Linked DNA regions of Drosophila melanogaster. The protein of the gene in region 2 interacts with the protein of the main gene of each other region in a pairwise test. Each region holds a gene or a part of one and is shown on either strand. Other genes may lie near its edges.

Evidence for each region.
Region 1: the proteins of Cipc (region 2) and CG4960 interact in a two-hybrid assay, tested with the Drosophila melanogaster proteins (one large-scale study listed by BioGRID).
Region 3: the proteins of Cipc (region 2) and Mabi interact in a two-hybrid assay, tested with the Drosophila melanogaster proteins (one large-scale study listed by BioGRID).

What each region holds. Positions count from the first base shown.
Region 1 is NT_033777.3:25,785,688-25,789,232, forward strand, and holds CG4960 (uncharacterized protein), read right to left. Parts: upstream 1,612-3,545; 5' UTR 1,536-1,611; coding exon 1,011-1,535; 3' UTR 642-1,010; downstream 1-641. Other genes in the region: CG31380 (uncharacterized protein), read right to left, coding at 2,424-2,635, 2,760-3,545.
Region 2 is NT_033777.3:26,104,947-26,110,018, reverse strand, and holds the start of Cipc (clock interacting protein circadian), read right to left. Parts: upstream 3,152-5,072; 5' UTR 2,677-3,151; intron 2,435-2,676; 5' UTR 1,142-2,434; intron 1-1,141.
Region 3 is NT_033779.5:13,233,208-13,236,588, forward strand, and holds Mabi (mabiki), read right to left. Parts: upstream 1,454-3,381; 5' UTR 1,389-1,453; coding exon 768-1,388; 3' UTR 591-767; downstream 1-590. UniProt on the Drosophila melanogaster protein: Plays a role in inducing apoptosis and is involved in the repair of head patterning defects in the embryo caused by extra maternal copies of the homeotic gene bicoid.

The DNA.
Region 1 (3,545 bases), 320 kb from region 2:
TACGTAAAAATGATATCACATAAAGCTCATGGGTTAAACGTAAAAACAGTTTCTATAAAAAATTCAGCATGTTTACATGCTGGCATTTTAAAGTGAGGAAAATGCAACAAGCTCGTATTTTCATTTAAAAAAAACATTACACATTGCAAAATTTAACTAAAGGCAATAGTGAAAAAACTATGCTATCCAGTTAGTACTCACGGTTCCATTAAATATAAACCATATTTGCACCTTTTTCAAGTGAGTATTCATGTAAGCGAATAAAATATTGAAAGCAATTTAAGTGATAAGTTCAAAATATGCAAAACAATATTTATTAAAAATTATTATAACGCAATGTAAAATATTTCAAATGTTATTGATGCATTCTTTCGAGTTGCATAACTTGCCATTTTTCCAGCATGTTTATTATTCTGTAAATATATTTGACAAACATGCACTGGCACATAAAAAAAAGCTGAAATTGACTCGAGTAAGAACCGGAAAAAGAACAATGAGCAGCGACAAAATATGTGTGGCATCGGGATGCTTTTTACGCGCAACATTTATTTCGCATTCGAGGACGTCTCTCAGTGAGATATCAAACTCATACACACAAGGAGGTACACACACACAAGCACACCTACAAAATGGCACACAATCGGTAAATGGCTTGCATTAGGCATAGACTTTCTAGACTTTTATTCAGATTTTCCCCATACATTATCACTGTGAAACTTCCAAAATATATAATTTCTTTTCGAATGTCACTTAAAGGATGGAAGTGCCGTTCTGAGCCGGAATACCTCTTCGAGTTTAAATTCGAGTCCACAAAAGCAGCCGCGCAAGTGGTGAGATTTCATTTTTACCTTTAACCAGGATAGATTTTTTAGGATTCAGCGACCACTGGTGCTCCTTCCAACAACAAAATGAATACATCATTAAAATTTATTGCGAAATGTATCCGATACGAGGTGAGGTTGTTTTGCAGACCGTAAACCAAATGCATGGAGTTAACGCAAATGTTTGTCCTAGTCGTCCTTTGGCACTCCAGCGGACATCATGTCGACGGGATCGTGAAGCTTCAGGAAGTATGGTCGGACCAGCTTGTGGTAGATAAGGGTAGAACCATTCCGTTCGGTGGGCAGCATGCACCAGATGAGGAAAGTACACTTCAACAGCCAGTAGAAGGGAATCATCGAAGTTAGCAGACTTGGATAGAATTCAATCACAGTGAAGATGCCAAAAGTGACCCAGTAGATCAGCCACCTGATGTCGTCCTGCTTCGTACTGGACTCGATGCCATGGATGGAAATGTAAGCAGGGTAAAGAACCCCAATGATGTTGCACAATAGCTGAGCGCACCAGCCAAAGACCAGGTAGAAAGCGCAAAACAAAATACTACCCACGAAAATATTCACCCTCTCCACACCGGTCTTCTCTTCCAGGCTATCAAAGGCTTTGGTCCACGGCTTGGACGCATCGCGCAGTGATCGGTTAATGTCCTGCTTGTAGCCGTTGAAGAACCGCTGCACCTGACTTACCTGGGCGGCCATTTTGCACAAATGAGAATTTAATGTATGTATCTAATTGTCAATCAAAATTGTGTAACGCCGCCGGCTTTCTAAATGCCAGTCGATTTTTTTTTTGTTTGCATTACAAAAACGACCTTAAATTAAGGTAAAAGCCGCAAAATGGTATCTTGTATAGAAAATTTAAAAATTTATATTTTTGAATCAGCTCCGTTCTTTTTTTTCTTATAGAAATTACCTCTGTTTTTCCTCTTCCTCCATTAAGTATAATAAACGGTTGCCTAGTTTTTGGCGCAGGCCGGGCTAAATGGCATAGCTTAGCCTAATTGCACTCAGCTTTAATGCAGTTGTGAATAAAGCAACGCCAGCGGCAGACACGTCATAATTTGGTGATTTTCCAACAGCTTGGCCCACCATTTCGCGCCAAAGTTTTAATTAAGCAAAGGCCAGGAGCACGCGCAGAATACCCCATTTAGTCCGACTTTTCGTTTATCCACATCAAAATTCACATTTTCCATTTCTTTTCAGACTCATTTTCTGCGGCAGACACGCACTCACAGCTTTGCATGGCTTCCATTCATTCACTCATTCAAAATGCTAAACAATTCAAAAAAATGTGTGTAACTATCCTCGCCCTTCCATTCGTCGCCTCCGACCTTCCATTTTTCCATTTCGCAGCAGCTAAATGTGTTGCGCTTTTGTCTAGGCCAACTGAATGTATTTTCGTTTCGGCCTTTTTCTCCTTATATTTTTCCACGAGTACCAACTCGGTTCATAATTCAAAAGCCTCTGACGGCTGGCTTTAAAATGCCTGCGGCTGTGGCTGCCATGTTTTATGTTTATTAGCTCGTCTAATTGAAATGTCTAATGGGGGAGTTTATGAAAAAAGCGGAAAATCCGCTTCCACCAGCTTCAGAGGCCTTCGTATTGCCACGGATCCAGGAGCCCTTCCAGCTCGAAATGCTTCACCATTTGCTTAATAGAGTCCTGGATGCCAGGGTTGAGATACAGCCGCCTTTTCATATCCATTCCACGCGGCTGATCCGAAAGTAGGGCGGCGAAATCCGCATCAGTTTCATCGGTGTTTAGCAGCACAGGTAGCAGCAGCAGGCCACAATGAACGGCTTAAGGAATATAGATTATCACTTTATTTATTTCAAAAAAAAAAAAAAGTACGAAAGACTTGGAAGTATATATATTTTGTTTGCATATTCATTTGCTAATCTCTTAGAAATTAAGTTTACCCACCGTAAAATCGTTTTTGCTCTGACTCCAGGTGAAACTGCTTTCGACTGGGCAACCTTTGACCTTTGAAGCCAAGTCTCTGCAGCTCCCCCACGAAGACATCGTGATAGACACCTCTCATCTTCATTTGCAGCTCACTCCGCACTTGCTCCACAGCCGACGTGTTGAGCAGATGATGGATGTCCAGGGTGGGCGAACCCCAGAAGGCGTACTGAAAGTCAATCAGAAGGACATCGCTCGGCACGCCCGCCTCGTATTTGAACATCATGTTGTTTGTCCACAAGTCGCCGTGGGTAAGGACATTAATGTGCGTTTGCTCTTGCTTAAAACAGCGGAGTCCTAGTCCCATATAATAGGGAGCCAGTTCGTCTAATAGTTTTGCGTGGTGTTCATAACCCGCCTGAGTTTTAAGGTAATTGGCACAGGACTTGAGGCAGCCCAGAAAGTAGGCACTAAAGCTTTCTGTATACCTATTGAAGAAGCCTTTATCGTATTCAGTGAGAGAGAAGTTATTTTCCAAAAGATTGTTCTCCAAAACCGCTGATGCTGCCTGCATTTTGGCCAACTTCCTAAGAACCAAACTCACATGCTGCTCATCCAATCTCTGAAGTCTCGGGGCCATCACAAATCCCTTGTAGCTCAGATCTTCCATTATGAGTGCTCCTCTTTGACGATCGATGTGTAGTATTTTAGGACATAGTTGCTCGCCGGCTAGTTCCTGCAATTTTGGTAACACTTGCTCGTAAATCTCCAGTTCCCGATTGTAAATATCATATGGGGCTTTCTTCA
Region 2 (5,072 bases):
CGTTTGGCAGAGTATGGACATACCGATGGCGTGGTGATCAGCGATAGATTCCACGTCAGCGCAGCAGTACGGTACACTTGCACTTTTTTTATAAAAATTATGACGTTTGGCAGAGTATGGACATACCGATGGCGTGATGATCAGCGATAGATTCCACGTCAGCGCGGCAGTACGGTACACTTGCACTTTTTTATAAAAATTATGACGTTTGGCAGAGTATGGACATACCGATGGCGTGATGATCAGCGATAGATTCCACGTCAGCGCGGCAGTACGGTACACTTGCACTTTTTTATAAAAATTATGACGTTCGGCAGAGTATGGACATACCGATGGCGTGATGATCAGCGATAGATTCCACGTCAGTGCGGCAGTACGGTACACTTGCACTTTTTTAAAAAAATTATGACGTTCGGCAGAGTATGGACATACCGATGGCGTGATGATCAGCGATAGATTCCACGTCAGCGCGGCAGTACGGTACACTTGCACTTTTTTTTTGTATATTTATTTATTTTACATTTTTCCTCTCTCTTTTTTTTTCCTGTGTTTGAATATATGTTTGAGTTTCATTTGGTACTTCACAACTTCAATTTTGTTTTATAAAAATTTGTTCCTAGTCACTTTCAGTCGACATCTTGCATATAGTTTGTTTCGTTTCTTACATGTTTACTTACAGGTAGGTAATTATTAATAGGTAGGACATCCTACCGGCTGCGCCAGTTAAGTCCGTGATCGAGGGTGGAGCCTTTTGTGAAGATATGATGTGTAAATGTATGAAGGTTTTTAAGTTTCAGCAGATAGTTGTAGTGTGAAGATTTCCAATAAAGAATACGACTGACTTTCTTGAAGTTCAAAATCAGTATGAAGTTTATTGTCAGAGAGTGGCTACTCGAGTCCTCCGTTTTCGTCTTATACATAAGTACATAGGTTCTTAATTGTAAGCATAATGAACATGCCGACTCGGCATGTGGCTGGCTAGCTGGGGACAATGTTGCAGTGCGACTTTTGTGTAATGTCAGCATTCGGCCGGAATGTCAGCATTCGGCCGGATGCGGTGTTCCAGTTGCCGTCTTCCCGGTTGAGTGTCCGATGATTTGTTTAGAGGCGTGGGGGTTTAGGGGGTGGGGTGGTAACTCGCGCTCTCTTTTCTCCACATTTGGGGCCAAAGCTGACGATCCGCATATCAGCTCTACATATATATTTTGTTGTCTTTTATTTATTTTTTCTTTTTGCCTTCGCCCGTGTTGTTGCTTGTTTATATTTATATATCGGATGGGGCTAATATTTTTTCCAATTTTTTACTGCTTTGTTTGTTGCTGTAATGCGGAACGCGCGCGCTCGAGCAAAAATGATAAATCTACGATTATGGGCGTCATGGGGTGTCATGAATGGAGCGGCCCCCCCGAAACACGCGCAAGAGTTACCTATCAGAGATATAGATATGCTCGGTACCTGTTTAATGTCCACGACTGCCTAAAGCAATTTCCGGTTGGAAATACGCCCAGAATAAATGGGTTCAATAGTGCCAATGAACCGAAGATAATAATAATACCCAGAACTTAAGCTCATTTCGTTGCACTGTTTCTCACTGACTTGAAGTAATCGTAGTTAGGCAAATACAAAGTCTTCAGAGTGAGTAAAAAAAATAAATAAACAAACAGCTGTCGATTGTGGATCACAGCTTGAGCTTGATTCACTTTAGCTGAGCCATCGCTTCTTTTAGTACGCCGTAAAAACCAGCTGCAAAAGTGGCCCAGAAAAATCTCCCTACTTTTCTCTTCTTTCAAATCGCAGACAAAGCTCTATGATTACTTTGTGCTTATTTCAAGAATATTTCACACGATTTGACCGAACTCTTAATGGCTGATGTAAAACCAAAACATATTTACGTAAAGGAAGGAAGTACTTTTTTATCTTAGTTCTTGGAATTCGACAGCACAGAAACAAATAAAGGGCTAACACATCAACATGTTAAAGTTTTGTTTTCTTTAAGTTACACTTTGTTTCCCTTGCGAAAATTGAGTGCGTCTGGCAATATATGTAAACATTGAAAGTCCCTGAAGCCCAAAACATTATTCGAACTTTATGCTTTATATTTCCCGCGAGTATTTGAGGTATATAATAAAACAGTCGCAGAGAGCATTTATTTTTTTTTTAATTTTAATAGTAAGCCGTATTTAAATCTGGTTAACATAAGTTTGTTTCGTAATTTGTAAATTACTTTAAGTACGAGCTTTAAAGGTCACAGTTAGTGAGCTTAAGAAATCAATATTGCGCATACGCCATGTGGCCCGCCGAAATGCAGATGCAAGCGCAGCACAAGGAAGCCCAAATGCCAAAGGACACGCCATGAGTCATGTGATAAGGCCCACGGATCCTGACCTAAATTCGTCCTTCAGAAGGTGAGGCACGAAGCTTGAAAAAATCTCGCCTATACGGGGAAAGGAAATTCAGGGGGGATGCAAAAAAAAAAATACAGAGAACAGGAGGACAACCTCTCTAGTTGGCAGGAGAGCTTTCAGCATCGGAAGTCGGCTGTCAAGTGCAATTTTGTGTTTTTTTTTTTTTTTTTGGCTTTGTATTATTATTTAGCACCGCACGTGTGGCACACAAATGCTGATGCTAATGCCGGGAGATTTATGGCAAACCTTTTCGCGAGACCTGCCGACTTACCCAGACGCTGCGGGAATGATGTTGATGTCGTGTTTCTTCCGCTCTAGATACCCTTAATTTAATGCACCCTCATTGGGAATAATGAACATTATCTTTTCTTCTTATTTTCTGTATTTTTTCGTATTTGTTTTCACACGCTTTTAATCTATTCTAGGTAAGGGAACGTGTGTGTGCAAATTCGCAGACGCCAATGGCAACACGCGCGCCAAACAAAACTTTCGCTTTCGTTGCGCGTGTGGCCGTCACACCACTACACACAGCTACACTCACTCACACGCACACACACACACACACACACAGTGGCACACACGCGCGCTGGCAAACAACAAACACGGATATGCGAATACTCGAGTGCGACTGCAAAATACGTAAACGCTCGTGTTCAGCGCGAAATACAAAGCTCTCGTAGCTTTTCCAGTTTTTTGACCAAACTGCGAGACGAACACCTCGACCGCCCAAAGCAGAATGAACGCGGTCCGACGAACGAGCGTCGTTTTAATAGTAGCTCAGCGGGCACTCACTGCGCACCCCACAAAAGTGGCCAAATGTGTTAGGAAATTATTAAAAAAAAAAAAAAAGAAAAATAAATTTATTTTTGGTTAGATCATATTTTTAATCAAACATATTAAATTCTTAAAACCATATTTAACATTAAATTAGTTCTAAGTTCTAAATTTAGCAAATTTAGCCGATAAGCAACGAAATAATAAGTTGACTTTACTCGCAGAGTAATCAACAAATTACTATAGCTGGCCTTATCTACAGAAAACGGTTCAAATCATTTATTTGCACACACTCATGCTCGAGCATCCACCAAAATAAAATTATTTATAGCATCAGTGAAAAACTGTTGACACACATTCGCATTCAAAAGTCGCCAACGCATCTCAATCAATCGAAAAATGTTGCCGCAACATTGTTGCCAGCAACACGCCCCGAAAATGGGGAATCCCAGGGGAGAGCTGCTTTGCGTTTGGTTCGGGTTTGTTTTGGTCGTGCCTTTCTGGTTGCCTAAATCCGGACCCTCGGGCCAGGCCATCACCTCCCACTTCCACCCCCCTCCCCGTCGCAATAGAAGGCAATTTTGTCGCACGTGTCGGAAATTTTGTTACGGCCGATTGCTTTTGCTTCCTCTCCCTCTGCGCGATGGCTGTGAGTTTCAATGAGTTGTGTTTGCGCTGACGGGTTGCTATATATATATACACAGAGTACGGGGGAGATTCTTAAACCATAAAAAATAGATATAAATAATATAAGAAGTGTTGTTTAAAATAATAAAAGATTCATTTATTTTTGTACAATTTTAAAACCCTAAATGAAAGCTCTGTACTAACGTTCGACATTGCGAGGTCTTGCTGTACAATATGCATATATTTTTTCTGCTCGAAGACCCACTGTCTTGACAGATACATTTTCCGAGCGACCTTTCGCGCTGTTTTCGTAATGAAAAGGCAATTCAATGGCCTTTGGCTGTTGCCGGCGCAGCCGCCTGCGACACTAACGGTAAACGGGGAACGATGGCTGACTTCCGGTTTGGCTTTAATCGTCTGCTGCTGTCGTAAATGGCAGCAAAATCCGAGCAGCGAACAATAAAAGAGAAATTAGCATAACACATGAGACAACGACAACGACGCTCGTTGGAGGCCCCCTTGCGGAACCGCTTCCCCCCGATTTTGCCATGTTCTTTATGTGTGATTTTAATGGGCTCGTGGGTGTCTGGGCCATGGTCGCTTTTCTATTTCAATTGCCGACACGTGTACGCCGCGTAAAACAAAAGGAACACGACCATAAAAGCATCACGCACATGTCTGGCCATTTGCATTTTTTCCGCCCTTAAATTTCTGCACCCAAAGTGCCATTTAATTGCCATGAAGTGTAGGGGCGTGGCCACTCTTTTGCGTCAATGCAAAAGTTCCATAAACGTGGTCGTTATTATGTGGGCTGTCCATCCTATCAAGACGCCCGTTAAATAAAAGTGCGTAATCAAATCTAACGAGTATAGCCCGAACAACACGAATAATTCAACTGATTAGAAATAGACGAAAATAAACTGTACCGAAATAGCCTAAACACAACCATCTTGCCGTTGACATATTTATTGTTTTATTTTTAATTGATAATGGCATTTTAAGTGACAAATTTTATTATCTGTCCTTTAGTATTAAAATAATTGTGCCTAATTACTCCAAAAATAGCTATGTCGTGATAAAAATAAACCACAATATTGCTGGCTAAACACTTCAAAAACCGCAGATTGTATTTCAATTCTGCGGTTAATGATCGTGCGGCGAACACATTTGTTTGTCAACACTTTTACGTTCAGTGTATGCTATTGGATTGCCAAAAATAAAACATATTTGATTTGTTTTTGTCTGGGAATTTCTAGGGAACACAAT
Region 3 (3,381 bases), on a different chromosome or scaffold from region 2:
CACTTGCCATTCCTATTAATACGTTGAAATTTTCCACAGGGATTAGGGGTTATGCAAATGAAAGCCTTTAGCGTGACCAATTCGATTACAATGTATTTGAAAATATCGTAGCTACTAATAGCTAAAGTGTTTAGTTTAACTTTAAGTGCGACAATGACAGCTGAGCGATGGACGGGAATAGGAGTAGTTATTATTTAAGCCCACATTCCCGTAGCTGCGGTTTCAATCGGTTTACGGCTCTATTGCCAGTGGTTTGACCAGGGTGCAGGGTTAATACCCAGTGAACTTTATCCGACTGGCTTGATATTCTCCATGGGGGGAGGCAATAGTCGATGGGGTCACCAATAACGATTTGCTCCAGGGGCTGATGATTGCCTGTGACACCACGCGAACTACCCCTGGGGATTAATTGGGATTTATTTCGATGGCTCCACGCTTTATTATATTTTATTAAATTTATTTATATATATTTTTAATATATTCATTGCTTCATTAGCGCTTGATTACTTTTTCTGCCAATGTCATAAATTAATATTTATACCATTTTTAGAAGGAAGATTAAAAGTCAAGCACACGATAAAAAATCAATTAGCCGTAAAAATTAAATCCTCATATTTTATTTATTAAGAAGTTCCTGCTTAACCTTTTAAGGCATTTATACTAAATATATACTAAATTTCTTAGCACTAAAAGTTCTTGAAGAAACTTAACAACTTAGCATTAATATAATAACTATATAATACAATCCTAAAAGGAGATGGACGTATCTAAGCATGCTCCTGTTTAATACCACCTATCAGGTAGTCGATGCTAAAGTTACTCTTGGTATTCTCCTCCGGAACTCTCCTTGAGGATACTAGCGGGTGGTCTTCCTGCTTGACCAGCTGCTTCAGATGATTCAAATAGACCCTGGCACGCAGACTCTGTTCGGCGATCTTGAGGTGCTCATCGGAGCACTCCTTGTACTGCTGTTCGATCTGCAGGTCATCGAACTTCTTCTTCCGTCGACTCATCCTGCAGGCAATTGTGTTCTTGTTGCGGCGCTCCTGATCCTTCGGTGAACGCTCCTTCTTCGGGAATTTTCGCACCATATTGACGTGGTACTTGAAGATGTCTTGGATGGCCTCGGTTATGATGGGGCTGGCGGATTGGTAGGAAACGCTTGAGGATGAGGATCCCAAACGACGACGCTTTGGCAGTGGAGGAAAGTCAGCATCCTGATCACTGAAACCCAAGCTGACGGACTGATTTGCCGCATCGAAAGGACTCCGACTGGTGCAGGGTGTGCCGCTCCGGGAGATTAGCTCTTCCTTCAGCTGCAAATCGCATTTCTCAATCTTTCGACCCATGTCGAACTTTTTGTGGCGATAGATCTGATGGTGCTCCATTGTATGGTATGATATGCTATGGTTATGCTATGTGTGTTCTACTCGAAGACTCTCGATTGAATGCTGTCCTGTGGATTGGTACACTAGCTTATATGGCGAAAGCCTTATCTGCCGCTCTTCGTAATCCCCCCACAACTTTTATAACTTTGTTTACACAAATCGACGACGAATTTTCTTTTTGCAAAACGAAAACAAGATCATAAACCCGCTCGATTTGCCTGCGCACGCGTACATGCCACCCAATCCCATACCCAAACCCAAACCCAAAACCCAACCCATCCCACTTACCTACTTGTAAGCCCACCCGTTGGGCATCCCTATCTACTGGTCATGTTTATTCTTGCGTGCGTTCAGCTGGGATCTTTTGAATTTCAGATACAATACAATCCGAGTTTTTCCGGATCAGTAGGTGGCGAAATGCGCGCCCATCGATTGTCTGGGTTCATTCAATTCGTGTTTGTTCCTCTTTCAAATCTATTATCTGCTGTGTTTTTCAATGTCGCCGCCTTTTGTAAAAGTCATATATATATATACATATATGGATTTTGGGCTACTCTTGTTCAATTGGCCTCTATTCGAAAAGTGTTTTGCGGCCTCATTTGTCCAACTCCCTTTGTATCCTGCTGTTGATAAGGTGTGTGTGGCACTGATCTTTTGTTTTCCGTTTGTTTCCCTTTTTTTAGATATCACTTCTTGGAACTCGGAGTGCCATTTCTGGGTTTGCAGTTTAATGCCGAAGATGACGATAAGATGACGTCTATTTGGGGTTGCAAAAGGGCACATTCCTGTAGACAGTCTGCGTCTGCTGATAACGTGCGTTTATCTCTTTTGTGCCAGGTCACTTGATAAATCGTTGTAAACTCAGCGCATCTTAAAACGATCCTAAAAAAAAAAGTATTCGAAAATTGGCCTGCGTAAAATAACCTACTTATTTGTTTGTTAAGAACTGAGGTTTTCCGAATTAGTATAAAGATTTGTTGTACGCGTATGACTCATTTCCAACCTTTTAAGCTTTGACAAAATCGACGTACGTTGCCTACTAGACACACGTGACTAAATAATCACTAATCAAGCACTTTAAAAATTGCCGTAAGGTGCAAAAAGCAGAATTAGCATTAGAGCTGTTAGCACGGCCACGCTTGACACCAATTGTTTGATTTATACTTTCATTACTACTTACTAGTAGAAACAGAAATAGGCAGTAAAAGGTTCTGCCTTTTCATTTTGAGGGTATACACAGATGTATATTTTACTAGGCCACAAAATTGCAGTAAGTTAAATAAAGCCTCAGTTAAATGCATTAGCATTAGCATGGAAGTACAGGAAGAATAGTTTCAAGCTCTAAAAATTGAAACAGTGATCTTAAGCCCAAGTCCCCGAGACATTTAATAAGGTGGTACGTTTTAATTAGCCGCCTGGGACCAAGATCTCCAGCACCATCTCCATCACCAAGTCGAGGAAGCATCCAAAGCGAGTCGGATCACTTGGGACAGCTGCCGGTAGTTGGTAGGCGGTTATGTGATGAGTATGTCGGGTCGCACTGGGGTCGCGATAAGTCAAATCGGATGGCTGGGTGGCTTCCACTTCACGACTTTACGGGGGAATTTAATAATGTCGTTTGTATTTCGCTACTGTCTACTGTCTACTGTCTATTGACTTTTGCATTTGCTTTGTTTTCTACAGCTGCGACGGCGATTAGTTTCAAGCTATTTTTGTTATCCACCCACCACCCACCGCCCACCGCTCCGCCCACAAATCCCTATTATTTGCTAATGCCGAGCATCTGTGTTTGTGCCTTTTTTTATTTTTTTTATTTTACGTTTGTCTTTGCAATTTCGATTTGATTGGATTTGTTTTGTTTTCTTCCCATAAATAAGAGCCCGCCACCCATCGCAGCTCTCAGACGTTGATTCGCATTTGCATCGGTCAGGTTGGGCTATCCAACGGATGTGGAATAACTTCACCTAACGAGGAAGTCAATTAAAAAAAACAT